Linked DNA regions of Mytilus edulis. The protein of the gene in region 1 purifies or fractionates together with the protein of each later gene. This does not show direct contact. Links are inferred from orthologs where the notes say so. Each region holds a gene or a part of one and is shown on either strand. Other genes may lie near its edges. The genes, in order: myotubularin-related protein 9-like; ATPase inhibitor mai-2, mitochondrial-like.

Region 1 (17,330 bases):
GACAGTATTACATGATGCCCTGTGATACAATGTGTACGAGTTCAATAGATGACTCTTATTACAACGTACCCATAATTCCTCATGATTTTCTGATCTTGAGGACAGTATTACATGATGCCCTGTGATACAAAGTGTACGAGTTCAATAGATGACTCTTATTATAACTTACCCATAATTCCTCATGATTTTCTGATCTTGAGGACAGTATTACATGATGCCCTGTGATACAACGTGTACGAGTTCAATAGATGACTCTCATTATAACTTACCCATAATTCCTCATGATTTTCTGATCTTGAGGACAGTATTACATGATGCCCTGTGATACAAAGTGTACGAGTTCAATAGATGACTCTTATTATAACTTACCCATAATTCCTCATGATTTTCTGATCTTGAGGACAGTATTACATGATGCCCTGTGATACAAAGTGTACGAGTTCAATAGATGACTCTTATTATAACTTACCCATAATTCCTCATGATTTTCTGATCTTGAAGACAGTATTACATGATGCCCTGTGATACAAAGTGTACCAGTAACTGGTTTGGTAAAAGGACGTTTCATACAGACATTCTCTACTGTAGGGGTCTTGATAAATTCTGCAAATTCCATTTCTTAGAACATGTAGAACACACTACAAAAGAAAAAAATAAATGAACACATACAGACTCTACAGACATGACAGAAGACGACTGCATACAGACTCTATGGACATGACAGGAGACAACTGCACACAGACTCTATGGACATGACAGGAGACAACTGCACACAGACTACGGACATGACAGGAGACGACTGCATACAGACTACGGACATGACAGGAGACGACTGCATACAGACTCTACAGACATGACAGGAGATGACTGCACACACTCTACTGACATGACAGGAGACGACTGCACACAGACTCTACTGACATGACAGAAGATGCCTACATACAATCTCTACAGACATGATAGGAGACGACTGCACACAGACTCTACGGACATGACAGGAGACAACTGCACACTCTACGGACATGACAGGAGACGACTGCATACAGACTCTACAGAAGATGACTGTACTCACTCTAAGTACATGACAGGAGAAGACTGCAAACAGACTCTACGGACATGACAGGAGACGACTGCATACAGACTCTACGGACATGACAGGAGATGACTGCACACAGACTACGGACATGACAGGAGACGCCTGCAAACAGACTCTACAGACAAGACAGGAAACGACTTCACACACTCTACGGACATGACAGGAGACGACTGCACATAGACTCTACGGACATGACAGGAGACGACTGCACAGACTCTACGGACATGACAGGAGACGACTGCACACAGACTCTATGGACATGACAGGAGACGCCTGCATACAGACTCTACAGACATGACAGGAGACGACTGCACACACTCTACGGACATGACAGGAGACGACTGCACATAGACTCTACGGACATGACAGGAGACGCCTGCACACAGACTCTACGGACATGACAGGAGATGACTGCATACAGTCTCTACAGACATGACAGGAGACGACTGCACACAGACTCTACAGACATGACAGGAGACGACTGTACACAGACTCAACGGACATGACAGGAGACAACTGCACAGACTCTACGGACATGACAGGAGACGACTGCACACAAACTCTACGAACATGACAGGAGACAACTGCACAGACTCTACGGACATGACAGGAGACGACTGCACACAGACTCTACGGACATGACAGGAGACGACTGCATACAGACTCTACGGACATGACAGGAGACGACTGCATACAGACTCTACAAACATGACAGAAGATGACTGTATACATTGGCATGATTGCTACTATTATAAATACATAAGTACATTTTTTATTGTGTTACATATGATCTAGAAAGGCAAAGGAGGATATTTGTATGGACATAAAACGTTTTGTGCATGAACCAAGTCATACTTTCTATTGTTTGTTTAATATATGGTATTTGCTTATAACATTTGTTTTTGAAGATAAATCTACTTTTGATGGTTTGTTTTTAACAACTCCATCTAAAATAATCTCAGACTATAGTGAACTCAGATACTAATTCTGCCTAAAAGTAAAATATATACTCAGGCTATAGTGAACTCAAGATTTTCTAACTCTGCCTACAACAGATTCTGGCTAACATGGCTAAAACTAGCTTTGCCTAAAAAAAAACTCTGGCTATAGCAAATTCAGACTAACATGACTAATTAACTAAAACAAGCTCTGGTTAATGGAAAACTCAGACTTACTAACTCTGCCTGTACCAAACTTGGGCTAAATGGAACTCAGAAATTAAGCAGATAGGAATGTTGTATAATTGTAGCGGGGTTCATTGTAGAATCGAAATGAGGATGTAGTACCATTGTAATAACAATGAAAAGCTATATTTTCATGCCGCTAATACTGCGACCTCACCACGATTTATTGAATTTATTTTAAAGACAGTCATGTGTCATTAATGGATTATGCATCTCTTGTTAAACAAACATCAACGTGAATTAAGCATTCATAAGGGGACTAAGTCCTGTATAACAGTAGAAAAAATCAATAATTTTTTTTTAAATAAAATAAAAAAATCGGGAAAATTTCTCGAATTCTTCATTGTACTAATCATCATTCATGATCATCAACTCAAATCGTTAACTTTTTTTTGTCACTTTTTTTAATTCCTGCATTTGCGCAGAAATCTACAGTGTACTTCCTTTTCCCAGTCTAATTTGCATGAAACTTTGGGTAAAATATATATTTATCAGTCTAGTATAAAATAGGAATGAACGCAATACCAATTTCATTTTTAATAATTCCATGATATGAAAAAACGTTACCTGATGTGATAGTGTTACTTGGTTTGCATTGCATATGACATCACAAACTTTAATAACGTCACAACTTAAATACCTAACATCATGAACATGAACAACAGAACCAAAAAAGGAAACGTTACAGTATTTTCATTTTGAAATTAAAATATGTTTGAATTAAAAAAAAAAAAAATCATATAGATTTCGTCCCAGGTAATGCCTGCCTCATATTACCTAGATATATCTGCCATCTTTTTAAAATGCCCAGAGCAGGCCTTCCTAACTTCCGGATAGGCGCCATATTGGAAAAAACTGGACATACTCAGAGAGGTAGGTCGTCAATTTGAAATGTTGAATTAAGAAAATCTAGCAAACCAATTTTGTATTGGATTAGTGCATATTGTACTGTGAGTTAAAAATTTATAAGTTATCATATTTTTATAAACAAAATTATTATGGTTATTGAGAAAAAGTTCAGGATTGCCAAGAATGTTGCGAAAACACATGTCTGATAAAACCAAGTCTTGGTTTTATGAATTTTTGACAATTGTTCGTTTTTGGATAAGAAATTTCTTTAAATTAAAGGTCCGATAAAAGTTTAATATGTTTTTGAATGTTTATATGGCAACAACATTGCAAATCGGATGCAAATTATGCATTTTGACGCACATGTTATGCCGCTTCATTGTTATGCAAATGAGCGACTATAACCGGTTGTTTGTGTACTTTAACACACATGATGTATCATTGAAAACGTGCAGGCATTGTATGGTATGAATATTTCAATATATCTGTAATTTAAACTTTAATTGCTCAATTCAATACATTAATTAATTGTTACATGTACTTTGACAGAGAGTTGTCTCATTGACAATCAATCGTATGTGCCATCCTTTTCTTCTTATTTATCTGTATATATTTTTAATACATACACATTTATATTATATGTATAATAATTTGAATTAGTATCAGATTTTGTTCAGTTTCATTTCATTTTGTTCAGTTTCATTTCATTGGACTAGGGAGAACACAATTTAGAACAATTACTCTCAACTCAAAAGGGGGGCACTACCTATACAGAAGGTGAAATATGCTGCTGGAAAACATGAAGGTCATCTTCTCAAGCTTGAAAAATATGTGTGGATAGGTCTGGAAAACTATCAGAAATATATGATTACATCATTAAAGTTACAATAATTTCTTCGTCTCTCATCCTTCTTGGTGTTACAAGCTGTTTTTTCAATCTCTTTTTACACATTGGTATTCTACTTTTTTATTGCAGAGCAAAAATATTGACAGGAAACCCAAACAATATAGGAAAAGGTTACATTTTCACCTATATCTGTATTCATCATGTTGCAAAACAATATATATCCATGTCAGATTGGTGAAGTTATTTCACTCAAATATGGGTCCTTTAGCTACCCTACACTATGATATTTATTTATTCTTTGATTGATCCAGTACTTTATAGTCATGTCCATATTCATATTTTGTCTTCGTATAATTTCAGTCAGTGGAAATACTAGACACAACATCCTAGCTGGTTTTCCAATTTGTCTTACAGACTATGAAAACACTGCTGTAGTTCTTTGATTCTTTGATAACTTGTACATGTTGTTGTGATGTAACAAATCACTTTTCATAAACTACATGTACAAAATGAAAGAAAGAAGGTAAGTTATTAAAGTTATACTCAAATAGTTCTTCATTTTTTGGGTCAAAGGCAACAGGACACCCTGCCACTTTTTAAGAACATCAACGATTATTTCAATTTAATTTTTTAGATTGAAATGATTTTGTAAAATTTATATATTTATGATAATTTGATAAAGCTTAGAAAAATGTAAGGGTTTTGTTTTAAATTTTTTTTTTTATATCTGCAATAAAATGAGAAGTGTTATTGTCTTAAAGACTTTAGACATTTATAGATATAGTTCACATTTAAATTGTTCTTTTAAATTGCATATTGTTATTTTTTTCTTTAAAATAGATTTGCTTTTTGCTTCATGTACAACATTATATTTCAGGTTAGAATGCAGAACTGGTGAAGATGAAGGTTATAATTGTGATCTACATATTGATTAATTTGAAGCAGAATTTGTTCTTAAGAGTGAAATAAAAAAAAGCAGTGTGTTTTAGAAAGATGTTCCACTATTACCAAAACAACAAAAATATTCATTGTTTGACTGAGAGATAAAAATGTAAATAAAGAGTACTAGACACTTAATTTTCTTTTTCTATTCAATTTTTTTAGTAGCTATATACAGCTATATTACCAAGCTCCAATTAGACCTATATTTATTTAACCCTGTTTCCAAATTATTTGAAATCTTTGGTAATCTTATTCAATTAGGTGGTCCTGAGATATTGGTCTATGTATCTAGTGCTGACAGTTCTTGTTGTTTTTTTTGTTTGACTTTTAAAATACATGGTCCTAGACTCTTTGCTATAGGAATAAGGATATGCAAATAATACCGTATTGATGTAGATATCCCTGTCACATTGATCATTATGGTGTCTTTAAAGGTAGTGTTGTTTGTTGGTGTATAATCAGGATCCCAACACATCTAACAAGAATGTGTCCTCAGTACACGAATGCCCCACTGTTCAGTGGACCATGACATTGGGATAAAAACTCTAATTTGGCATTAAAATTAGAAAGATCATATCATAGGGAACATGTGTACTAATTTTGAAGTTGATTGGACTTCAACTTCATCAAAAACTACCTTGACCAAAAACTTTAACCTGAAGCGGGACAGACGAACGGACGCACAGACCAGAAAACATAATGCCCCTCTACTGTAGTAGGTGGGGCATAAAAATGCAAGTGATAAACAAATAAAACTCAATATGACCAAAAGCAAACAGAGTTTCAAACTACTTACTTAGAACAAAGTCATACAGAATGAGAATGTGGTGGGCTTACACATACTGTACATGCAAATTCTCCTGTAACTTGTGACGGTGTAACAGCTTAACATTTAAGAACAAACAGTTGAACACAGAAATATGAAAATATGTGGTAAGATTGCTAATGATTGAAAAAGACAACTCTCAACCAGAGACCAAATGCATCTACTGAAAAATAACTCATAAATTGTGTCCCTGCATGTAAAAGGTCTCTAGTCAATAAACCCTGAACATGGGCTGGTCTAAAAAAAAACTCCATGACTTTTAGTATAAGATGTGCTTCAGTAAATACAACCCGATGCATATCTAGAATTTGTAAAAGTGGTTTGTGGAGGGGTCCCAAAGCTAGACGAATTTATGAGTGAAACCTGCAAAAATCTTGACTGACCCTAAATGAAGCTTAATGAGAGGGGTGCGAGCACCCTAACTACCAAGTTTTATCCAGCTTCTGACAACTGCATTCCAAATATTATGGACATACGATTTATGGTTACATTGCTGACTGCAGCTTACGGTTCATACCTAGCTGTTTCTTTTGTCACAGCTTCTAATCGTCATAGTTAAAAAAAATCATCAAAGATCTGCAATCCAGATTTTTAAATATGCAAATTATAGAATTAAGCAGACAATATATATCAACCAAATTTGTCACTATAAATTGGGTTAGATCCGCCTATCCTGATTCAGTGAACAATACTTAAGATAAAGAAGCCAACTTGCATAAAAACTATATATATTTCTGGATCCGCCATTGAACCAGGGGCGGATTTACGTGGGGGCGTGGCGGGCGTACGCCCCCCCCCCTAAAATTTGCAAAGTATGGGTTGTCTTCAACTTGTTTCAGTATCAGAAGAGACCATTCCTTCTTAACATTCAAAGTATATAAAACAGTCAGTTTAACCAGGGACTTTCTATACTAAGTAACAGAATCAACTGACCTACAATTTATTCAAGTTCTATAAATATTATATACTTCAAAGGAAGGTGTCTGATTGAAAAATGAAAAACATGTTTAAGCTGTTAAATTACAAACAATTGTTACTTTGTTTTTGCCGTTTTATAATCAATTTCTTTGATAATCGAAGTGGCGAATTATGTATACCGTAAATACGTGCATGGCCGTATCCCCACAAAATAAAAATAACTTCGTAAATGTATCTCATTCTGATTTTAGTGGTTTGTGGCGAACACAGTATATGTATATATTAAGTCTGGCACGACCTCCGAAAATCCAAAAAGTTAAAACATATAATTAAAGGACAATTGGAAATCACCGCGAAAAGTGGAAATTTTCGTTTGCGAAATCTAATACTAGTATCTAGTATTGGTCATGTGAGCTGATGTGATCTATCTTGTCTCACTTTGCTTCCGTCGATCCACCCGTCTATCTGTCAACTCTTTACATTTCCATCGTCCTAACCAAGTTTGTCGATGATTGTGTTATGGAGTGTTAAAGTAATTCTTAAGTGAACCGGTTTCATTTCACATAATTTACACCATGTTGAATGGCTAAGTGACATTGACGATCTGCAAACAAGGGCTTCCTGTTTTTGTGATGTTTCTGTTTATCACAATTACCAGCACCAATGTCTTTCAGGGATATTTATGACCTTATATTGATTATTTTAGAAGTGCTGGTGTCTTCAGTGTAGATTGGTCTGCACACTCAGTTTGCATAGGAACACAGAATCAAAATAAATTGTTCGCATGATCTTCAGCTTCTGTTTTGGGTTGCAGCTTTATAAACTCTATCATATATATGCAGAATGAATCTCTTACATGTAGTACGTAAGTTATTGGTGTTAGGAGTTTGTTGAAGATTTTTCAAGTTTGTAAGAGACCTTGTCATCATAACTGAGAGGTTTTTCGCGGAACAGGAACATATATTGTTTTACATCTGTCCGTCCATGATACTATAGTGATTGTAAATTGTTGTCAGGTTGGATTTAGGTGGTTTCTACTTGAAACTTTAATTTCTTGCTGACTGTACCTCACAATAGTTCGAAATACCTACATTGCACCCCTTTAGAAGAATATTTTTAAAAAAATAACCTCAAAAATTTTTGCCTCGCTCCGCTTTTTTTTTGTTATTTACAAATCTTTAAAAATTGTAACTCAGTTGAAGCAAATCAATGCTTACACGAGGATACCGCAAGTGTTATACATGATATCCAAAAATCAAAATTATGCAAGTGAAAGCACCGATAGTTTTTCCTCCGGTGAAAAAATGCGTACTGGATTTGTTACTGACAGAATTAAACTGGTTTAAAAAAAACATTTTATGTAAATTTCTTGCTGAAATATAAATTCATTTTCAATTACTTTTACTCAGTAATGAAATTTGTATATCGGTAGACCAATTTAAACGAATAAAACAAATTTAAATTATTTTTTCAAGTATTCCCCCCTCCCCCTTTTCTATAGTTTTCATAATACACGTAGAAAACACTTTGATTGAGTACATTCGTGTGCTAAGACGTGTTTGTTATCATATTTTGGGAGTGTAGAAGAAGACCCCAAATAACCGGTCAAGGGTTCATACACTTATCAAAATAAAAACACGAAAAAACTTTAAGCCAATCGAACTAGCAGGATAATTTATCGGTATGTTCGGACTGTATTCTTATTTGTTATGTAAAATCTACATATTTCCGAAATAAAGCCGCCATTGTCTGATTATCATCTGAAGCGAGTTAGGCTCCCCTCTCTATGATTTCCCCTGCCCAGAGGTTTTGCGTGCAAGATGGCTGTCATAGTCCTTAAAAAACTTAAAGGGGGCTTTTAAATGCATTTCAATGTTGTTTTTGTGATTCTTCATACTTTCAAAAGCCTATTTAAACTTAAAGTCATGATAAAATTCATTGTTTTGTTTAAAATAGTGGACAAAATTGCTCTTGTAAAATTTCTCTTTGGGAACCCGCAAGTAGTGACAGTTGGCAGGTATGACTTGTTTTGTAAATATACCTAGATTTAGATATAAAGTCAGCTTCTGGTTTCTGTATTCTGTATTCTGTAGGTGTCGCTGGTTTCGTGCTGAAAATTTATCATAATTTTTTAGACCGGAAGTTGCAGACAACTCTTTTATTTCCGAGGCAAATACGAGTACAAAAAATATATAATTTAAATCAACACAATTTCATTTTTTTTTATTTTCAAATAAAGGAAAATAAACTGCCTTTTTTAAAATTTCAAAAAACATTTTTGTTATACCCTCAAAGAGTGAAAGAATTTAATTTGCTGCTGAATAGTGTCGCTGGATATTTGGAAGATGGCGGATTACGATGGTAAACAACTTGGTTGCTGACCAAAATATTGCTGTATTTTTCATATTGACATTAGCTTGTCGAAGTCATGTTAAAGCTTCACTGCAACAATAATTCATCTTTCACATAAAATTTAGTTTTAGATTACCAGACAACCAACAAAATGTTTATTTTTTAACTTTGAAAATAAGTTTTAACAACTGCCGTGAGCTGGTGAGTGGCACAGGCACTTGTTTCTATCCAAGTGGGTCTTCCCATGGATAGAAACAAGTGCCTTTGGTGAGAGGGCCTGCTTTCGCTGCTGGATAACTCGGACTAAAACAAAGTCGGACTATAACAAAATCGGACTATAACTCGGACTATAACAAACTCGGCCTACCATTATTTATATGCAGAAATATATTGAACAAACTCGGACTACAGTACGATTAGAAGATTGTAATAAAAAATACTTATATATTAAAATAATATACGAATTTATGAGATTATCATGAATATTTTTGTAAAAAAAAAATCGTATATAGAAATGATTAATATTTGTTATATGAGTTGAATTAGATATGTTTAAATGAGGAGGATCTCCTGGCCTAACGGTCATAAAACTTTCGAGCATGATTTTTGAACTCAGACTCGAAAATCAACCAATCAAATTGCTGGATTTCATGTTTCGAGCACGATTTTTGTGCTCCAAGCACTGAGCAAAGTTTTATGCCTTCAAGGCCAGTAGTTGGTGATCGCAATACTGGTATACCAGTATTGTCCACAATACTGGTATACCAGTATTGTCCACAATACTGGTATAAAAATTTTGTACCAGTATTGTAACTTTTTATTAAAAAAAAACAGCAATACTGGTACATTACTGATATACCAGTATTGTAGTTGTATTGTTGACTAGACTATATTGAAGATCAAAGGGAGATTAAATGAACTCAAAAAGATTATAGAGGATAATTGTGAAATCAATAATTATTTAACAACCAGTTAAAAGTCATTACTATACTTGCACAAATAAACAAAAGATTATTGAAATTAACTCATATCATCATTATTATTTAAACAATTGCTAATAATTTTATATTATTTAAAATTTATTATATAAAAGCTTATTATTATCTGAGTAATAATATAATAAATTCAAGCAAATTATTAGACTCTAACACTGTAAATTCATCATTTACATGTATGCCATCACATATTTTGACAAACATTTTAATACATGTATACATTTTTTGTGTACTAAGATCATATGCATTTGTTTGTCTTTATTTTCTTATTAATCTTTCACAACAAAAGATATCAATATTATTCATTAATAATAAAAAGTTGCTTTATAGGGGAACCTTGTTATAATCAAATTAAATAGTTTGTCTACATGAATGTTAAGGGTTGAAGCAGTTGATTCAGAACCATGGACAATACAATTAGTAGCAGGTACATATATATCTACTGGTACAAATACTAGACCAGCATTCTGACAGTAAGAGAGCTGTACAAATGCTATTTGAAATAGCTTGTAATCTAGTAAGCTTTAGAGAAAGTCCACAGAGACTGAATATAGGAGGGGGGAGGGGTTGCAGAAATCACATCTGAAGAAGAAATAGACAATACCAATGCTGATGATACAGAAGCTATAACAGCATTAATGTCAATATAAAATTCACTAAAATATACTACATGAATCTTGGAAAGATAGAAGAAAGTACAGAGTTTGTTAAAATGCTGAGACAGAATGGTTAAGAAAAAAACATCAGAAGATTTAAAACTTTATTTGATGACAATCACAGAGTACCATCTATGGCATCATCAGTTAAACACAATCATTCCTGATAAAATTGTCATGTCATATGTTAATTTCATTATGCATATATGTGACACCTTTAATAAAAGATTAATTACCTATATTGTTTATTTAAAAAAAGCACAATACTGGTACAATACTGGAATACAATACTGGTACAAAATTTTTATACCAGTATTGTGGACAATACTGGTATACCAGTATTGCGATCACCAACTACAGGAGATCCAATGAGGATAATTAACTTACATTGGAATGTTATTGTGATTTATGATGTTTATTGACAATTGCAAAAGATATTTTAATGAGTGGCGTGTGTTCGTGTTTTTATTGTGTTTAATCCTTGGTGTTTATGATTATAGTAAATAAACACAGAGAAATTTGATTGACAGTGAATGGCTTCATAACAATTTCACTATTTCAAAATATGATCAAAAACCAGAAATGCTACAATTCACTGAATTGTCTTATAATAATTAACACAAAATTTATAATAATAAAAAAAAACCTGAAGTCCAGTCATAGCCAATACAAGACAAGACACATTTAATTGGATATTTAGTACCAAATTTCCTGTAATAACAGATAGATTTGTCCTGACTTGGGTGATAAGATAGGTGTCAACAGTACATGTGCCAGTTGTTTGTTTAACCTATGATGATTAAAAAAGGTATCAACGATACACGTGGCATGATGTCATAATCAATTAAGATATGCATATAATAAAAACATATTCTGAGAGGGACATTATTACAAATAATAATACTGAAAAGACAAATCAGTGGAAATTTTCATAAATGAATTTCAAAAAGATTTATTTTTGTACTTTTATTTTAAAAATATCTTGTTAACTTATTTTTTTATCCCCTTCAAAAAAGTTCAATTATTTAATTAATTGAAGATAAAAATTCATTTAAATTAAGAATTGAAAATTAATTTCGAATAACAACAACAACCAACATTATACTTATATTCTTCTAGTAGTCCGAGTTTGGTATAGTCCGACTTTGTTATAGTCCGATTTTGGGAAGCCGAGTTTCTTATAGGCCGAGTTTGTTATAGTCCGATTATGTTATAGGCCGAGATATCATGGATTCCCTACTTTTACTTTAGGGACACCATCAACTTATTTTAATGGCACATTAGTGATATAATTACACCTTATTTAAAAAAAAGGCCAGATTTTGATTGGTTGGTAGCCGGTGTATTTTTCACATATATTATTCTATCTATATATCTGGTTTTCCTCATTTCAAACGAATTAGCCTGTTTTTTACAACTATTACTGGTATCAGTGAAAATGCCATGGTATCGGCCATTTTGGATACTCATTTAATACACATTATCGCTAATTCTGGCTGACCCAGCCGCTTGAACTTTTGACACATACAACAATCACTTTCCATTGTGTCATCAGATTTTTAAAGCAATTGCTTTCATGCCGTCGCGTATGGCCATCTTTGTGACCCAGATCAGAGACTCCGCCCAGATCAAGCCATAGTATTTTGTTAAACAGGCTCCTGGTCTGTCATTCTTAAACACCTATGTATGTTTTCTAATGCAATACATAGCTTGAAACTTTTGAAAAACGTTAGTGGATTTAAGAAGTTTCAGCATACGTTCTTGTAGATATATTTTTGTATTTAGGGGGACAACCGTTTGACTATCAAAAAACATAGACGTCCGAGTGAAAAAAAATGCATTTTTATACCTGCGATTCCGTTTTCCGTTCGTACGATGTTTCAACAAAATATGGAATCATTTCAGTTGTTGATTTAGTATTGAAAATTTGACTGAATTATCTTTTATAATATACGGTTTTATATGTTTAATTGGTGTTTTTTTAAGAAAGAGGTCAGGTGCTCTTGTTCATTCATAAAATTGTCGTTCATTCATAAATTTATCGTAAAATCAAAATCACTACACAGGTTATCAGGTTATACGTAGTGTCAAATGATTACCTGTAATCTAAAAATAGACAAAGTTAACTGACCTATTTTGTTGATTTGTTTGCGCAAATAATTTAGAGGAACGAAACCCTTGTTAAAAACACATAACAATAAGTTTGTTTTCCTTTTTTGTCATAACTCCGTAAGATTTATCGATCACCTTACTAATGAAATGGACCCGTCCAAATGTGATAGATGCCAAGTCCAGATGAAGAGATATTTACAATTTGGAATTTTCTAGTTTCATAGATTAAAAAAAGTACATCCTTTTTGGATATCATATTCAAAACTGGGTATGCATGACAAATGATGAAACCATTATCCTTGTCTTTCCAATGGACGAGTCTACTACGTTTGTTGACCCTCGACGGTCCACCGTGTTTGCAATTATATTTCACATGTTTTCGAAATATTGAAGATCATTTTCACAATGTTTCCTGAAAATTGGATAGATATCAAAGCAACTTAGAGCTGTTTGTTCGTGTTCGTATAATGACGATTTAATGTCATGTTTGTCTGTGATGGCCCCTCTTTTCGGGATTGCATGAGAATTATAGTTATCTCGTACAGCATGAGGATGACACATATCAACTGAGCAATAACGTTTGGGACTTAGTTTTTAAGAAATGATGACAAAGTAACATTATGAAAATATTTTTAGTCAGCTTAAATATATATTTATTTTTTACATGTTTATGTCTTGTAAAATATTTTGTTTCTTTCCCGTTTTTCAACATTTGCGTCTGGAAAGTTGAAATGTTTTAACTGAAGTGTAAAATTTAAATTAATTATGAAAATTAAATCAATAAAGGAAATTATTGCCCAGTTACAAACACTACTAGGGGATAATCCATAATAATTTCTCTTGGAGTTATATGTTTCAGCACATGTATATCTGACCCCAACTTTAGCCTGGTAAACGTGTTGTCTCCTTGTGAAATATAAAACATATTAAAAATGACTTTCTGCTTAAGTCTTTAATTGATATAAAGTTAAAACCTTCTTAATTCTCACTAGACAACACTCCTGTCATGTTTAATTCTTAAATATATGTGGATGAAAAAAAAGTCCCCAAAACATAAACATGGCAGCAATTGGCTTTGATTTATTTTATGACATCAAAATTTTATGGCAACCTGTGTGGTATCCAGCTGTAATAGCGGACAAATAGTGATAATTGAGGTGTAAATGAGGCAGGCAATACCAGTGTAAGAGGACAAAGTCTGTATGATTTTTTTTCTAATTCAATACATTCCTTTCTTAATTTTATTTAAACTTCAAAATCTGTTTAAAAAAAATTCTGATTTTGGCTCTGTTGTTAAAAAGTATAGCATGTTTAATTGTGACGTTATTTAAGTTATGTCATGTATGTATGATTAATATTCAATATAAACATGGTAGACCAAAAAACACTATCATCAGGTAAAGTTTTTTCATATCAAAAAATTATTAAATATGAAATTGGTATTGTGTTTGTTCTTATAAGTTATATACACCTTATTGCTATTCCCGGCTGACCCAAGAATCTGTTCTGCTTGAACTAATGACGTCTTTTGATGGGGTTTTTGTTGCTTATTCTTTAGCATGTTTAGTTTTCTACGTTGTGTGTGCTGTTGTTGTCTGTTTGTCTTTTTAATTTTTGGCCATGACCTTTTCAGTTTATTTTCGATTTATGAGTTTGACTGTCCCTTTGGTATCTTTTGTCCTTCTTTTATATAAATCACTTTTCCATTGTGGTGTCAGATATTTTGTACAATTGTTGTATTACAAATGTATTATGGTGTCAAGATTTTATGGGAACCTGTGTGATATGTCCAGTAATGGTAGACAAATAGCGATTTCACTAGGCTGATTAATATATCAGTAAAAATATTTTACTCAAAGTCTCGTCAGACAAACAAGACTGGAATAAGGAAGTACAAAATGTAGATTTCTGTGCCAGCCAATGCATATATATATATATATGTGATAAAATAAAAAAGTCTGAAAAATAAAAGTGAACTGAGAACAATTTAAAATCATTCTTCATGTTAGTCAATGTCACATGTAGCTATATATAGTAGACTGATTTTTTTGTGGGAAATTTTTCAAAAAGAAAAAAAAATAGATTTGTCTCTGTTTTTTTTATTTTTCTACTGTAATAGGAGACTTTGTCCTCTTTTTACCCTCAGGAGGTTCTTCTCATGATTTGATTCACAGATTGATAGCTCTAGGTACATGTAAATCAAAAACTGTAAAAAATACCAAAAAAAAAACTGATCTATAAAGTTGAAAAAGAAGTCTTTATTTTTTACAAATGAGTTATTTTAGAATGGATTGACAATCATGTTTATGTCATATATACCATGACGTTACTTAAAGACAGTGCTAATCATGCTAAATTCCCCATTTCCATTCTCAATTTTATAATAAATAAATTAAAATAATACATGTATAATTCCTAGATAGTCTACTTATAAATCCTAAAACTAATGCATAAAAATGTACATGTATGTGCCTTTCAGCCCTATAGATGTCCTTTTACCTGTTCAGAGAGCTTCAATCAAAATCTATTTGGTGTAATAAAACAGATATCTCATGGAGGGGTAATAGTCATAATTGTAAAAATAACAGTCTTGGGACCACAATTCCCTTGCCTTGTGGCTTGGGAAATTTCACAGTCCCTTGACTGACATTTATGCAAATACTGTTAAATTAACTCCTGCCAACTCACCTAACTTATGGAAATAAATGAAATCTAGATACATTTATAATAAAGGTCTGCAAACTCGCTAATATATAAAAACTTAAATTGTTTGCCATATTTTTGAGATAACTGTATGTATTGTATTTTAACCATCACACAATAATTAGTTCTTTTAAAATTTAATACTTTGAATAAATTTATAACTCCATACTTTTTACACATTTATTCTATAGTCCTCAACTTTTTACACAAACACAAATGGTTAAGCTCAGTCACCGTCAGTCACTTGTTAAAAATACATGTACATGTAGATTATGATACATGTTCAATTTCACTATGCACACATAGATTTTTGTTTACCTACATTTTTTGTGTTCCTTAATTGGCGGTGCATTAGGGATAATGACCCAGATATTGAATCCCATGTTACAATAAGCTGGGGCCTTACAGAGATGATGAATCCCATATTTTGATGACTGATTTGTTTTTTTGTAATTGGCAGGAAGAACAAGTTTGCATCAACATGTTCATAACCTTTTAAATTGCACTTTAAAAATATTGTTTTGGGGAAATTTGGCATGCTTAGTATGACATCATTATCACTGAACTGGTATACATATTTGTTTAGGGGCCAGCTGAAGTGTGTGGTGTGGGAGTTTCTCGCTGCATTGAAGACCCATTGGTGGCCTTTCGGCTGTAACTTTGTCTGTTCTATGGTCAGGTTGTTGTCTCTTTGACTTATTCCCCATTTTTTGATTCTCAATTTTATTGTACATTATGTAAGCATGGTAAGGACATGATGATTATGATCAATAATGACATTTTACAATAAAGGAAATTTTATATATAGATACATACATTTATTTAAGAAAATGCATTGAACTTAAAATCTTTTATAAATTTATATAAATTTTTTCTTGTTTTGAATTTAACTTAAGAAGTTTCCCATAGATGGATTTTAGAATGAAGAAAGGCTGAACCACTGAAAAAAAAATTTGATTGAAAAAATGTGTTTACCTAATGTACCATCCCGTATTAACGTATGAACGTATTAACGTATGAACGTATTAACGTATGAACGTATTCGGAAAACTGAAGCTATTTATTCAAACACCTTGTTAAAGAATTTGCATTCATTTTATAAAACTTAATTACATTTTTTGTATCTTGATTATCTCCCCTCTAAATTTTCAAAACAAATTAAGAAAGAAAAGTTTGATTTATAAAAATCATTTTGCTTAAAAATGGGTTCATTTTTTTTTTAATCAGGTAAAATCAATTTCAGTCGCTGCTGTCAAGAGAAACCTAAGATGACAGAGTACTCATAGACAGTAATACTACTTTAAATAATAAACTGTGTATCTTTAAATAATTTGATTTATATCTAGTATTTACATGGAGATGTTGTGATAAACACAGATACCGCCCAGAATTATTGTAATGCAGCGTTGCAATCTCTCGGCTTAAATGAACAGAAGCTTAGTGTACACAATATCATTAAAGAATTTAAACCACCACCCTTATTGAGCTGTGCTAATCTCAAGTATCATTTATTTCCATTTATAGGACTTTTAAATGAGGCATAAAGTACACAGGCTTCTATTTAAAAATAGTTTAAAGATCTAATTACAGATAGCGTGTGGAATTTTGAATATATTTAAAATTAGACCTAAATTGAAATTGAAATTGATTAACTTTAAATGAAACGGAATGTTTTTAAAATATTTATTTAATTTAATTTGTTAAAAATATACAGGCCAGAAAGTAGCACAGGATAGCCATGACAATCAATGCTTTTGAATGGGGATATCTGGTTGGAGCCCCCTTTATCCTGGGTTGAGAAGCCCCCTTTATACTGGGTTGAGAAGCCCCCTTTATCCTGGGTTGAGAAG
Region 2 (16,462 bases), about 7.9 Mb from region 1:
TTTTATGTAATGTCATATCCCAAAAAATTTTGCGGGAAGATGCTTGAGAGGGTAAAAAGGAATATCTAAAATGAATGCTTCATAGTATATAAAACAGAATTGTCATCATGATCATCTACTAGAAAAATCAGAAATTATTGCATGCATTTATTATTGCGATTTTGTCCATTTAGACTTAAATGCGATTTTAATTTTTACCATTTTGAAAAAAATCCTCTTTAAGTCTTAAAAAATATTTCAAAATGTGAGTTTAAATTATTGCATTTACACCTCTGTCGCATTTTTTGCAATAATAAAAACTCACAGTAATTTCTGATTTTACAGTTCATAAAACAGGACTGGAATGATGATCATTTATATGAATGTCCGACTGCATTTATAGATTTCCCTATTGTGAGTATACAAGTAGGGTCATATTAAAACATGAAAAACAATGTAAATTCATAAGATACTCAAACTTATGATTATTATTCAATCAAAACATTGAATAAAAGTTTTTGGCAATGGTGGCATTGGGTGCCACATGTGAAGAAGGATCACCTGAGATAATACCCTCATGGGTGCCACATGTGAAGAAGGATCACCTGAGATAATACCCTTGTTTTTAGGTGGGGACCCCGGGTTCATGTTCTTCAATCTTTAGTTTTCTATGATGTGTCTTGTGTTCTGTTGTGTTTTTTTTTTTTTTGCCACGGCATTGTCAATTTTTTTTTTACTTGGAAAGTTTGAACAATTTGGTATATTTGCCTCTCTTCCAATCATTTCCTAAGCCCCAACTATAAAGCTGATCCATTATCAGTTGGAGAACTTCCAATAATATTTCTTACAGTTGAATAATACTTTGTTTTGTTATCTTACCTTACACTGCCACCAGCACCACCACCCTACAAAGATAAAATTATGACAAATATATGATAAACATGTAGTGTACATTATCATTTCTTGGTCACAGATCAAACATTTATCCCAATTAATTGAATTTGAACCACTGCATAAAAGTCAAATCATCAATGTATTAACATGTATTAGCTGTATAAATAAAATTGAAAACTGATTATGTCATTATTTGAATTTTTTCATAACATTTTATCAAGTTGTATTGAACGTTATTATCATACTTGACTTTTTATACTGATATATGCAATGTATATGTTTGTATTTGTTTGATTTTCATGATGGAAGGGAAGATAAGTTATATAGCTAACTGTGTAACCCTCTTAAAATAAAGTATTGTTGTTGTTGTTATTAACATGATCAAGTTAAAATGATTACCCAACATCAAAATTCAGAAGGTCCTTGTGCTGTGTAGTTTTCTTTGGGACTTAATACAACAACTATTTTACAGAAATGAGTCAACCTAAGCTTGAAGCTAAACTTCTTGTAATATATGTATATATGTCTTATCAGTCTTATCACAGTGCTAAATATTAAATTTTTTGATTTTAAGTCAAGTTTTCTTACCACAGAAGCTCAAAGTTACAATTTCATAAATTTTTTGTAAGTGAAAAGATGTAATAAAATTACCATGTATAAATGGTATATTTTGTCTTTGAATTAGTCTGCTTAAAATTAAGGTAGGGCTAAAATTATACAATATTTAATGGGATCAGAGGGTAAACCTAAGTTTTCCTTTATGGTTACAAGAGCTCAATTATTCGTAATGCATTTTCCATAGGGTACCACTGGTGTTCCGTATTTTTTTCTCGAAGACTACACAAACTAGGGAAAAACGGTTAGAAGTTACTGTTACTAGAAATGCCAGTGTTGCATTACAACCCAAAAAATATATAGGGTCATGCAGCAGAAATTGACTTAAAATGCAGTTAAAAAAGATCGTCTATTTCTTTCGCTTAATGAAAAAGGCATATTTCAATGGCTCCGACGTGCAGAAATGGAAGATATTTTCTATACTTCGTAAAATGTGAATATGATTTTCTGCAATTTTTAAACCTTATTGGATAAGCTTTAGATAAAATGTAATTCCTATCCTTTTTCATCCAATCAGAAGCCGTATAGTTTTCTATTCTGAGAACCATCTTGGGGTAAAAAACTTGCCGGTAAAATGTAAACAAATAATTGCGCTCTTGTAATGTTATATATCATAATATCAAAGCTCTATTATCTCCCTTAAAATATTATCAAACTTTTTTGTCTCCCTTTTCTACTTCAAAAAACACTTTTTTCTTGTGCATATTCTATATTTTGCCCATGTTTGTAATGAACAACATATTTCTGACCACTGATTATTTTTACAATTTTCCTTTTCATTTATATCATTATATATACAGTCTTTGTGATTTATAAACTTTGAATCTAAAGGCCTGAAGCTGAACAGGGATCTCCATGGATGAAAATTGAACGATGGAGGAACTTTCACCATTCTTCTTCTTCTTCTTTCAGTAACTTCCTCCTGTGGTTAGGAGCACATCAATTTCTTGATTATCAAAGTGGGCTTATATTACACGGACTTATATAGCTAAAATCACTTTGTTAATTCACAGTAAAAAACGCAATTGCATATATTAAAAAGACGATGGGCTTATATTACACGGACGGTATTAAAAGTTATTCACTTTGATACTTCGTTAAAAATAGTCTAAAATCTAAAATGACACTGATTCACTTTATGAAATTAGTATAACCATGGTCTGACACTATTAAATATCTGCATGTCTCTATATTCAGAACATCAGCTACCACTTTGATACAGCAATTGTCTGTATATTACGTCTATTATTGTAAACAACAACGTATTCAAACCGTGTCTACGCTGTACAGTGTAGCGCGATCGGAAGTATTTTATCCCTCCATACAAGGAATGGTGAACATGCTAATTCATTACTTATTTAAATTATATTTATTTGAATTTTCATTATAGAATTAGAAGTATCAATATTTTCATTTAAAAATTTGCCAAGTCTTAATGGTCCCCCCTTAGTCGAGAATGACCAAAAGCTGTCATGAAGGTCCCCATGTAGATTTCTTGTATTTTTGGTAATTGTTATGGGGCACAGGCACTTGTTTCTATCCATTGGAAGACCCACTATCAACGTATATGATTTGCAGCAACAACAAAACGATTCGTACGGGTTATGTAAAAGGTTAAAGAGATTTGTAAAGCAAACGTTGACAAATGAAAAGGTTTTTAATGACTTTATCTGGCAAATTGATGCTGTGCAACATGCATCTTTGGAGTCTGAATAGAAACCGGAAACGCGGATGTATCAATTTGATTGTAATATACGAAATGAATTCGGAATTACGATACGATATTTCTTTACAGGAAATATTTAAGTTTTTACTTTTTAAGTAATTCTAAATTATCGTTACAGCAGTACTCAAGTTATTTGCGATGAAATAATATTTACTGTTTTGCGTCTTATTTTGTACTTCTTAAAAAAGGGGGATGCTGATTGCGTAAGTCAAAATAAAGCACGTGTTCGACTCGTTAAACTGTTTTCTTTGTAACTGGATTATTAATTTATTTATTAAATCTAAATCAGGGTTGGCAAAGTATTACCCACCCGGAATTCCCGGGCGGGAAAACCCGGGTTTTCCCGGGCTGGGCAATACTCCCAGAAATGGGTAATAGTGGGCATTACTGGGCAATATGATTTTTAAGCTTATTTTAACACAAAATAGTAAAGACTTGTTATAGTTTCATAGTATAACAGCTAAATATATACTTTTTATACAGATAACTAATGAACTATTGACAGTCATTTCTAGAAAATTCAATTTCATTCTCTTCTCTATTAATTTTATATGTAGGCAGAATACAAGATTTGTACATTTAAAGATACCTTTTAATTACCAAGTATTGTTTCAAAAATTCAAACTTTAAAAAATGCCTTTTATTGCAGTGTTTAAGTGAATTGTTAATTTTAATTGTTAAACATTCATATTGCTAAATAAACACCCTACAGGGTCATGCCATTAACACTTATAAAATTGAAAAGATTGATTATTGTTACATAAACAAATCTGTGTTCTAATCTGAATAACTACTTATTAATTAGTGACAGTACATATATACATTATTTAAATGTGATGTTTCTTTAATACATGTTGTAATTGTTAATTCTTAATAGGCAGTGAAAGGAGCTATATTCATTTGAAAAAAAAAATAATATTTGCTTTCTATTTACAGTTTGCCAATCTAGACAAATTTTGCTAAACAAACAAAATAGGGTATAAATATCTTATTAAATGTATTGCATTTGTGTTTATCACTGAATCCTCTTTAAAATTCAGACAAATATTTTATATTACCCATTATTGCCCAGTATTTCCCACTAAAACCCAGTAAAACCCGGGTTTTCCCAGTATTTCCCACTGGGCTGGGCAATACTCATAAAACCCGGGTTTTTGCCAACCCTGATCTAAATTATCATAATCATTTGCTGAAACTTAGTTGATTAATTCGACAAATGGATCGTCTATCCTCAGATAGTATTCTCCTGTCTGGTTTGTTGATCTACCTGTACAAGCTCAGGTACAAGTGATTAGCGATCTTAATCCGGATATCCCTTAGGTGTTAGAACTGTATTGGATTATAACATAAAAAGCCTAAGGGTTATGCAATTACATGCATTTGATTATAATTGATAAAAAACTAGAGGCTCTCAAGAGCCTGTGTCGCTCACCTGCTAATGTGTTTACTGATGTCGGCCATCTTCGTTGGTAGGCGGGGTCATTAGACACTTTTTTTTAAAATAGATACCCTAGTATTATGATTGTGGCCAAGTTTGGTTAAATTTGGCCAAGTCGTTTTAGAAAAGATTTTTATACAAGTTACAAAAATGACGAAAAGTTGTTCAATATTGACTATAAAGGGCAATAACTCCTTAAGGGGTCCTCTAACAATTTTGATCATGCTGACTTATTTGTAGATCTTACTTTGCTGAACATTATTGCTGTTTACAGTTTATCTCTATCTATAATAGTATTCAAGATAATAACCAAAAACTGCAAAATTTCCTTAAAATCACCAATTTTAGGGCAGCAACCCAACAACAGGTTGTCCGATTCAACTCAAAATTTGTGAGGGGATATATCTTATTCTGATGGACATTTAAATCTTGAAAGATTTGCCCTAAATGTCTTAGTTTCAAAGATATAAAGCAAAAACTGCATTTTACCACTATGTTCTAATTTTAGCCATGTCGGCCATTTTGTTTGGCAGGCTGGGTCATCGGACACATTTTTTAAACTATAAACCACAATGATAATTGTGGCCAAGTTTGGTTAAATTTGGCAAAGTAGTTTTGGAGAAGAAGATTTTTAGAAAAGTTACAAAAAATGACGAAAAGTTGTTAAAAATTGACTATAAAGGGCAATTACTCCTTAAGGGGTCAACTGACAATTTTGGTCATGTTGACTTATTTGTAGGTCTTACTTTGCTGAACATTATTGCTGTTTACAGTTTTCTCTATCTATAATAGTATTCAAGATAATAACCAAAAACTGCAAAATTTCCTTAAAATAACCATTTCACAGGCAGCAACCCAACAACAGGTTGTCCTATTCGTCTGAAAATTTCAAGGCAGATAGATCTTGACCTGATCAACCATTTTACCCTGTCAGATTTGCTCTAAATGCTTTGGTTTTTGAGTTATTAGCCAAAAACTGCATTTTACCCCTATGTTCTATTTTTAGCCATGGCGGCCATCTTGGTTGGTTTGACGGGTCACGCCACACATTTTTTAAACTAGATACCCCAAGGATGATTGTGGCCAAGTTTGGTAGAATTTGGCCCAGTAGTTTCAGAGGAGAAGATTTTTGTAAAAGTTTACGGACGACGGACGCCAAGTGATGAGAAAAATGGTGTCAGGCTACAAAAAACGATGAAGTTTGAACGATGGCGGAAGACAATTTAACGATGGTGCGAGTCATTTGACGATGGCGCAAGACATTTGAACGATGGCGTGGTGCCATAGTTAAACAGGCCATGGAGATCCCTGGCTGAATTTAACAAAACTTTAATCAGGGTATATTGGCATGTAGGGGTGATTTTTACAGGCCAGGTAAAGCATTTTACAAGCCTGGATTGTTTGAACTGTGGTTGAGATACATTGTAGAAGACTGTTGGGGTGAATTTAAGTAGATATGTTTTTACCTTTCCTGCACCACTTCCCCATTCATCACTCATGGCCCTGATTCTGAAATAAAAAAATCACAACATATTACAAAACATGAATGACATGAATAAATAGAGATGTGGTCAGTGGCGGATCCAGAAATTTTCATAAGAGGGGGCCCACTGACTGCCTAAGAGGGGGCCCGCTCCAGTTATGCATCAGAGATTTCCTATATATATTTTGTACATGTATGTATTTGAACAATTTATCTTGTGGTTCAAATTTAAAAAAAGAAATCCTGATTAAGGAGTGGGTTCAGCCCCCACAAATATGTTTCACCCTACCATATTTATTATGTGCCTGTCCCAAGTCAGGTTCCTTTAGTTCAGTGCTGAGTGGTTGTAGTTAGTTCATGTAGTTCATGTCTGCCATATTTGTTTTTTATAAATTGTTTTTTTATATATTTTGAGTCTGTATGTTTTTGTAGATTGTGTTTGTTTCTATTTATTTATTTTTTTTTTTTTTTTGGGGGGGGGGGGTCTCTGTTGACCATGTTGACCTTTCAAATATTTTGGGCCATTCTAATTATCCTATTTAAAGTATTTTGTGTGTGTGTGTTTAACTGTGATAACTCCAGTGCCAATAAGTTTTGCACACTGCTATTCATATATAATTGTATGAACATGTACATGATTACCATGCTTAAAGTCATAAGAAACCTCAAATTTAAAAAAAATATGCATATGTTTTTTATAACTAAATGGATAGTTTTCATTATACAACTTATGTACATATACTTTTTTCTGAGGAAAATTCTTTAATTTGTCCACATTTAGAAGAAGTTTACTTATTTTTAATTGCTTGCTTCCAGGAAGCAATTCGCCGACATATTTTCCGTATGCATAGTGACCCGAGCGTAACCCTCCTCGTAAAAATCCGGTAATCGCAATACGCATGGATCTGTATTGAAATAAACAAATATCTGAGTATACATGTTAAACACGTGCTCAATACCCATGCTTTTTGTGATTTGTTTACTATAAGGTGACAATCGTTAAAACTCGGCTTCAAAACACGGCATTTAATGAGCAGCCATATTTTTTAAATCATAACAAACAGAGAGAGAAAAAATTGACGATTATAGGATATATTTGCGAAAATAATGATAAAATCGTGCACAGAGGACTAAGTTTATGATATATACATACATTGGTTCAAGAATTGGATAAACATTATTTTTCACCACTCACTCGTTTCATATGACTTTAAAGACAAATATTTTTGTCCAGTCCTTGCAGTTAACAAGTTAACAACTTTCAAAACCATACATCGTATATATACCGGTATGCTTTGGCTAGCATATATAAATAGTGCAACAATAAGCAGTAATTGTAAGCCTATTCAGATTTTTTTTTGCACTTGCATTTGAGCATTCCATAACCATTTTATTACATGAGAGACTTACTTCACTTCAACACACCGCTGAAAAAAGTAAGACCATGAAAACAGTTTGAACAGACATTCACTTTATTTAAAGAGGTAGGTGTTTAATTTGTGAACAATATACAAATGTATATATTTATAGTAAAACTTTTTCCACAACTACAACTGAGGTTTTACTGCTATCAACCTTTTCATTCAAATTTAGTCTCATGAAAGAGGGGTCACTCTTGTTCAAACCTATTTGTACTTTTAATATGTCTAAGCATCTTTCTTATCAGAGTTGAGCTCAAACTAATTATTGAAATATTCCTATACCAAATTTTTGATTATCATGATTATATATATGTACATAACCATTTGTCCCTATTCAAATACATTGATGGTCCCCCCAAATGAGGGAGGTTCGAAACCTTGCTATTTGTCTGCCATTACTGGACATCACAAAGGTTCCCCTAAAATTTTGACGTCATAATACAAAATATAAGACGCCACAATGCAAAAGCTATTGTTGTATGACGTCTATAGTTTAGCAGGGGCAGATTCTCGAGTCAACTTGAACAGATTTCCAAATGAAAGAGCAATAAGGTGTATTGTCATGATTGTGGGTCAAGTATTTTCTATTATAACGTCAAAATTTTAAGAGAACCTGAGATATCCCTGAAATGCAGACAAATAGCGAAAAAGGTGTATTGAACCACCATTGTCATGATTGTGCCGTATATTGCCATTTGAAAAGAAATGCGTGACAACACAGGCCTGCCAAATAAGTTTCCAATTCAATCATACATGCATCAGAGGCGGATTAAGGGGGGGGGGGCAGGCCCCCCCCCCCTTTTCCTGGGAAAAATTTGGTTGCTTATATAGGGAATCACTGAAGCATGACTGGAGCAGCCCCCCCCCCCCCTCCCCCCCTTAGGCAGTCAGTGGGCCCCCACTTATGAAAATTTCTGGATCCGCCACTGTGCATAGAAGTGCAAAACCTAGTAATGATCCAAAGAAGTCAATGATGTATCAACTTTAGTGATTAGGGATAAAAATTTACGGTAAACAAAATCTTAAAAAGAGGGGTTACTATAGACTGTAATCTTTTAAACCTGTTATCCTTAAATTATGTAACTCATTAACACTTTAACGGCAAATGTCTTATGTGGTTTTCCGTATTCAAAAAATGCATTACTGTATAAAACGTAATACACATGTGTGTTGACCATGCGACCTTCAACTGTTTGAATAGAGTAAAGGGCAAATTACTAAGTTCTTATGTGTCGTTAAAGCAATTTAATCTCTGTTATGAATACTTTGGTAGTTTTTTAATGCAACAGAAACATTACTTTATATTGCCATACCCAATAAACCGCAGGGAGGTTAATCTTTTAGCTGCTTGCAATGCCATCGTTATTTTACGTCTGCAAAGTTACGGATATAGAACCAAGGGAGATAACAACTATGGAGCGCATTTTTAACAAGAAACTTTTATTCATTGGGTGTCATTGGGACGTCGACATTTTCATCGTTTCTAATAAAGATATAGAATCGTTTGCAAAACTGAATTAATGTTACATAGCTTGAAAGTAATGATTTTTTAAAGTTTAAAAATATATTCTATTTTTTTCCTTAATTGTTGCAAAAGATATTGGGTGGGAGGGAGTGACATTAAAAAAGTGACGAACACCCCAAAGCATAATAAAAATAAAAGAAAACTAAACCGTGAGATTAACTAATTGATAGAATGATATGTTGTGCCACTATCATCATTCGGTTGACTATTTCAAGTCCTGGCGACCATTTTTATTGGTGGGAGTAGATGAGTGGGCCTGAGTAGTAGTAGGAGTGTCAATTAAGTTTGTGTAGATAGATAGATAGATAGATAGATAGATAGATAGATAGATAGATAGATAGATAGATAGATAGATAGATAGATAGATAGATAGATAGATAGATAGATAGATAGATAGATAGATAGATAGATAGATAGATAGATAGATAGATAGATAGATAGATAGATAGATAGATAGATAGATAGATAGATAGATAGATAGATAGATAGATAGATAGATAGATAGATAGATAGATAGATAGATAGATAGATAGATAGATAGATAGATAGATAGATAGATAGATAGATAGATAGATAGATAGATAGATAGATAGATAGATAGATAGATAGATAGATAGATAGATAGATAGATAGATAGATAGATAGATAGATAGATAGATAGATAGATAGATAGATAGATAGATAGATAGATAGATAGATAGATAGATAGATAGATAGATAGATAGATAGATAGATAGATAGATAGATAGATAGATAGATAGATAGATAGATAGATAGATAGATAGATAGATAGATAGATAGATAGATAGATAGATAGATAGATAGATAGATAGATAGATAGATAGATAGATAGATAGATAGATAGATAGATAGATAGATAGATAGATAGATAGATAGATAGATAGATAGATAGATAGATAGATAGATAGATAGATAGATAGATAGATAGATAGATAGATAGATAGATAGATAGATAGATAGATAGATAGATAGATAGATAGATAGATAGATAGATAGATAGATAGATAGATAGATAGATAGATAGATAGATAGATAGATAGATAGATAGATAGATAAGATAAGATAGATAAGATAAATTTTATTTTCCAAATTAGATAGATAGATAGATAGATAGATAGATAGATAGATAGATAGATAGATAGATAGATAGATAGATAGATAGATAGATAGATAGATAGATAGATAGATAGATAGATAGATAGATAGATAGATAGATAGATAGATAGATAGATAGATAGATAGATAGATAGATAGATAGATAGATAGATAGATAGATAGATAGATAGATAGATAGATAGATAGATAGATAGATAGATAGATAGATAGATAGATAGATAGATAAGATAAGATAGATAAGATAAATTTTATTTTCCAAATTAGGTCCCCAGGGGGGCATATACACATAACATATATAATTGATACAACATACAGTATTTTACATAACATTGTAAAATAAACTATTGAAATAGTCATACAGGTATTAAATCAAAAAGTGTTTGAGAGTTGCTACTCCAGAGATGTGGCAAACCCCATTTATTTATTTACTTTTAAACCAGGACATATGTAGAAGTCTACTCTGGTACTCAGTGAACATCCTTGGAAACTCGTATGGCCATACATACCAGGCCTGTATGGTGTATACAAGTAAGTAAATTTGGCGTTGAGTATCTGTATACTCATCCAGGAATGGCAATCCAGACTGCTTTGGAGGAGAATAAACAGGAGAAGAGAGAAACAGAGGACCAAACAGACATAAATGAGGGATTGTTAATTAGGGTTTGTGGTTTTTTTTTATTTGTTTAAAAAATATATAGACCACAGAATAAATTATGTTGACATAATCTTTTAAAACACTAATTTATTTTGAGCATAAGTTTTCCCTTTTTTATTGGGTTACTGCAAACATTTAAGAATGGGGTAAGCGTATACTAAATACACAAATGATGTAATTACAGAATAGTCATGTCATTATTTTAAAGATAAAGAAACAGGAATGAAGCCCCACAATCCATATCCTTGTGTAGAAAGGACGCCAATTAGCTGGGGGGGGGGGATTGTACAAGAAAGGATTTCAATGTACAACATGGCGATAAAGCAACCCATCAAACGAAATGTGTAGCAATTAGGGTCGGATCTAGAATGTAAGAAAAAAGGGGGAGGGTCTATAAGCAAATTGATAAAAGGGGCCCGGACAATATATTATCAACAATACGTGTAAATTTAAACTCACTAAACCCGCCTCTGGAAATAAAGCACAATATTATTGATAAATAATGTTCTTTTCAATTTTCGTAGGCAAGGTGTATTCGATTTGATCGTTTGTATAGGAAAAAGATACACTGATCACAGTTCTTCATTACGAAACGTGTATATACTCATCATAGATACCAGGACTAAATCAAGTTTTGTGTATACGCCAGACGCGCGTTTCTCTACAAAAGACTCATCAGTGACGCTCGAATCCAAAAAAGTGAAAAAGGCCAAATAAAGTACGAAGTTGAAGTGTCAACGTATATTTGTTCCACCTAACAGAAGTTCCTCTGGAAACTTTGTTATAAACAATGTCATAATTTATGTTCCTGTTGGAACAAATATTCTATACCATTTATTCCGTTAGGAACATTTACTGGAATATTTATTCGAGTGAAAATAATATTCCAGAATAATGTTTCCTTTAGGAACTTATATAATGAAGGAACTAAAGATTTTTTTCGCTGGTATTTACTGATTGTCAAAGTCATGTGATTTGCTATGGTGGAGTTGACCAGTGCGTTGAAAAAACGTCACTCGGTCATTTTGAAATTTAAATTACAGTAACACATTGCTTAATTGAGCAAGAACGTATTGACTTCTTTTTCACTATTCCACCAAACAGAAAGTATTACCCTTCAGACTGTAGACTATTACACTATCATGAAAAAAAAATTCCACAATATTATTTACCTACGAAAACATGTTTATCCCCAAAAGCCCCAGCCTATTTTATAACTAACAAAGTGGAATAATGATCCCCAGTCAGTATAAGGTCTAGAAAGATTTCAAGTCTCAGGTACGAACCATTTGATTTGAGGAGGCAGTCTGAGATATTTGAGAGAAAAAAACATTGACTCTGATTCTTGCCTAAAACAAAACTTCTGGCCGTATCTGGATTGAAAACAATAGTCTTGTCCACTTTTATGCTAATAGAAACGAAAATTTCCAACAAAATTATTTAGCATTAAATGAACATCATGAATAAAAACGGGCGTATTTTTTATTTTTTTTTTGTGGCCGGGGTTTGCATGTCTGCCCGGAAAGTCTGTTTCGCCGGACTTACATATTCGTTGTCATTTCAGACTCTGTTGGGTGAAACATATCAACCAAACATTTGGATAAAAACTGCCTGTTTGTCTTTTCTAACTCGTGTCGGTCGTATTGCGGTACCACGATTTCCCGAGAAATGCAAGAAAAACATTCTATCCCAAAAACAAACTGATATATTCCGAGAAAAAGACTTTTTATGGTGTTATGCTACTTTTTACAGTGTTATACTACTTTTAACAATATTAAAGAATATTACTTAAAGATATTACTCGTTTTTATTCGATAAAAGTGCAATTTCAATTCAAAAATTCGATTTGTATGACTTGTTACGAATGCAAATTCCTTGTTAATACAAAATACTAAATTTTCTCAAATTTTGTTCATCAAAGAAATATGAAGACAATCGCTTGGTATTATTTTAGTAACATTTGCAAATAAAAAGTTATAATTTACGATTATGGTGCTTGTTCTTCCAAAAAAATGATTTCTGCAAAAAAAGTTGACCGAACGGAATCAAAATTCGCCAATATTAAGATTTTAATATTTTGACCTGATCGACACAAGTGTTTTCATCGAATAGCCCGGCGTTTATCTTGTTTACAACACGAAATCTGTGAGGTTATGATAACTTAACTTGCAACAAACCGGCGATAATTTCCATGTCTATTTTTCACTGACAAGTCCCACATCAATTAAGCTTTGAATCCATACTATCATTTTATGAAAGACAATTAATAGGGAGAATATGAAGCATCAAAAATGTCCCACCCTTACACTTTACAGCAACTATAAAATATAAATGCCCCACGACAGGAACCGTTTAATTATGTATTTTTTAGCCCCAAAAAGGTCCCAAAATTTTTTTCCCTCGCTCCGCTCGGCGAATTTAAACCTTCGCCCCCCTTTCCAAAATCCTGGATCCGCCCCTGGGACCTTAGAAAAAAACGTGTTAAAACTACGGAGTTATAATATGTATTCAAAGTATTAAATTTTCAAAGAAACTATTGTGGGACTTTTTACCACGAAGAGCCGCAACACGAAAGGATTTTTGGGGTATGCTAATTTACGGAAAAATTAATCACACTTCGTACCCGGAAAATGTAACCACATATGTGAAAATGTCTCAGCTGCGAAACAAGCTATCATACATATACAAGTTTGCGATATGAGCTGAGCTACAGAAGAAAACGTTACCATTATCGCATATGGAGAAACAATTGCGCATAGTGCCCCAAGTATTCATGATTTACGTTATCCGACAACAATGTGAACAGATAATTGCTCCTTAGCTGCAAAATGGTTGACCATTCGGAATAATTATTCAAGTCCCACAAACATTAAAAAGATTTTATCCTACAAGATATAGGCTGGTCATTATCTTGCATTCAAAGATTTTTTGTATAAAAAGACTGTTTAACAAACAGAGCGAATTAAATACATTCTTTAACTGGATATCAGCAGAGGCAGAGGGACATAACAATTTCTTTTATTGTGAATAACAAAATTTCTCATTTGAATTATTGACTATTCCAACGGTTAACAAGACAAACATTACAAATTTCCCAATTTGCCAGACCAAATCAAACGATGCTGATTATAAAGAAGATGTTATTTTTGCAGAATATTTTTGAAAAAAACACTTTATTAAAATATATAGGGTTTATCATCTAAAATGATTTATCACGGTATATCAGTGGACGTTTTTTATGCTAGGAATATCGCTTACATATTCCATTGTAGCCAGTATGATGCTTCAAAGCAGTATGTGTTCTCATTGCAAGCCATTCTAGGACAGAGCATTATAAAACCCGTTGGCAGTTTTCTTCTCCGATTAGCATTATGAATATTCCCAGAAGAATATTAAGATATCCATTAGGGCTTATGTAGGAAATAACACACACATTCTTTCTTCTCATATATTTTATGATGGAATGATACAAAACTATTAACGGAAGGGATTGTGCTTGATTTTCATATGATGAAGACATAATCTTTCAGTCAGTTTAAATAAGGTCTTGAGCTGGCATGTCAGAAACTGCTACTAGTCCTTTGTTTATTTATATATCATTGTCATTTTCCTTAGTTTCTGTTGTTACCTTTTCTGACAACGGACTCGGACTCACAAAACTTGTTAAACTCCGCTGCATTTTTTGAGCTTGTCGCAAGTCAGGAGCTTATGGACTTTGTTACTTTTGTATGTTTTTCAATGTAGTTTTTGAAGAAGTTGAAGTCCAATCAACTTGAAACTTAGTACACATGTTCCCCATGATATTATCTTTCTAATTTTACTGCCAAATTATAGTTTTGACCCCAATTTCATGGTCCACTGAATATAGAAAATGATAGTGCGAAGTTCAGGTTAAAGTTTTTGGTCAAGGTAGTTTTTGATGAAGTTAAAGTTACATCAACTTGAAACTTAGTAAACATGTTCCCTTTGATATGATCTTTCTATTTTTAATTCCAAATTAAAGTTTTGACCCCAATTTCACGGTCCACTGAACATAGAAAATGATAGTGCGAGTGGGGCATTCGTGTACTATGGACACATTCTTGTTTTATATCTTTTAGTTCATATACATGGATATGTTTTTGAATCTAGTATGGTGTACATTTTCACTGAACTAATACACATTTTTATTTAGGAGCCAGCTGAGGTACAGCACAGGGTGCGGTATTTTCTCGCTGCTTTGAAGACCCATTGGTGGCTTCGACTATTATCTGCTCTTTTGACGGGCTATTGTCTCTTTGGCATATTCCCCATTTCCATTCTCATTTGTATTTCACTTATTGAAAAAATCAACACCACCATTGTGTGGGACAGCTGCCATTAACAATGGAGACAAAAAAAAAATAGTCAAAAGATAATTTCAACTTTATGACAACAAATCTGTTAATTTGATCAATTCTTGGTATTCTAAAAAAGTAAGATTAGATAAACTATGATACAGATGCCTCTATAGAAGAACACGAAGAATGAGAAAAGCTAGCGTAATCTGTTTTTGTTACCGTCTGATAAAAAGAAAATGATACAACAGATGCAATACAGTCTGCTTCATATTGATAGTCGATGAGGAACTTCTATCCACTGTAAAGATGTGTCGATGTCCAAATAGTGAAATCATAATTACCATAAAGCATCGTTTTTACAGCACAGGTCAGTTTGACATGAAATTCAAAGTATTGCGTCTCCTTTAGATACTTTAGAGGATGATTATTTTGATAAAGAAACCATTGAAACATAAATGAATACTCGTATGATAGATTAAACAGTCATTTAATTACCGTTATATGAAATTTTCACATATTCACACACACAATATAATTTCCTGAACTTTAATTGCATATTGAAAATGATATACGAGATGTCGTAAAACTACTATTGCCAAAAGCCAGAAATACTCTTAATGATATAACAAAATGCTTATAGCGCATAGATTGAACGGCTATTTGGAGTGTTTCGCCTCTCTTTTAAGGGTGATCCTGTGTTATTGTGTAATTAAAAGAAGTATCATGTAGCAGTATATAGACAGATCGCAATTTATATTGAAATGCTCAAATGTAGATTGATACCTCGACAAACCTCCACTAAACAACCTGGAGAAATATACAAATATTGTTTTTCCCAAGTCAGAATGACCAGATTTAGAAAATTGTTCTAGAATACACTACAACTATCATTGGAAGTGTTTATCATAAAGCGAAAGGACATCAAAAAGTATATATCAAAAAAATCTTATAAAGTCAGAAATTGTTTTTCGGCTTTCCTTACCAATGGAACATGTTGAAAAAACCCAGAAAGTTCCTTAAATTTGAAAAAAAATCCTGTACGACAATATAAAATGGTGCATTTCATGCGCGCTATTTTGAGAAACAATCATTAGGATTGTTAAAAAATAAAGAAAAAAAGCAAGAGATATTTTTTATTGAAATTATTATCCTAAACACACTAAATATTATGTGTAAAAAATAAACATAAACAATGAAAGGTAAATTGTTTATCGGTTCCAAAATGTTTTGTGCAAAAGCAATATAAAACAAATATTATCCAATATATGAA

What was found.
Region 2: the proteins of myotubularin-related protein 9-like (region 1) and ATPase inhibitor mai-2, mitochondrial-like purify together in Homo sapiens (affinity purification with mass spectrometry; 5 studies listed by BioGRID and IntAct, with this or other methods). This does not show direct contact. The link is inferred for Mytilus edulis from reciprocal best matches to the Homo sapiens genes MTMR9 and ATP5IF1.

The regions. Positions count from the first base shown.
Region 1 is NC_092355.1:76,957,241-76,974,570, forward strand, and holds the start of myotubularin-related protein 9-like, read right to left. Parts: upstream 8,829-17,330; 5' UTR 8,704-8,828; intron 5,054-8,703; exon of another isoform or gene 4,854-5,053; intron 4,500-4,853; exon of another isoform or gene 4,337-4,499; intron 3,595-4,336; exon of another isoform or gene 3,485-3,594; intron 3,154-3,484; exon of another isoform or gene 3,088-3,153; intron 639-3,087; 5' UTR 617-638; coding exon 470-616; intron 1-469. Other genes in the region: zinc finger C2HC domain-containing protein 1A-like, read left to right, coding at 9,008-9,023. UniProt on the Homo sapiens protein: Acts as an adapter for myotubularin-related phosphatases. Increases lipid phosphatase MTMR6 catalytic activity, specifically towards phosphatidylinositol 3,5-bisphosphate and MTMR6 binding affinity for phosphorylated phosphatidylinositols.
Region 2 is NC_092355.1:69,042,099-69,058,560, reverse strand, and holds the start of ATPase inhibitor mai-2, mitochondrial-like, read right to left. Parts: upstream 8,948-16,462; 5' UTR 8,917-8,947; coding exon 8,855-8,916; intron 6,162-8,854; coding exon 6,119-6,161; intron 885-6,118; coding exon 859-884; intron 1-858.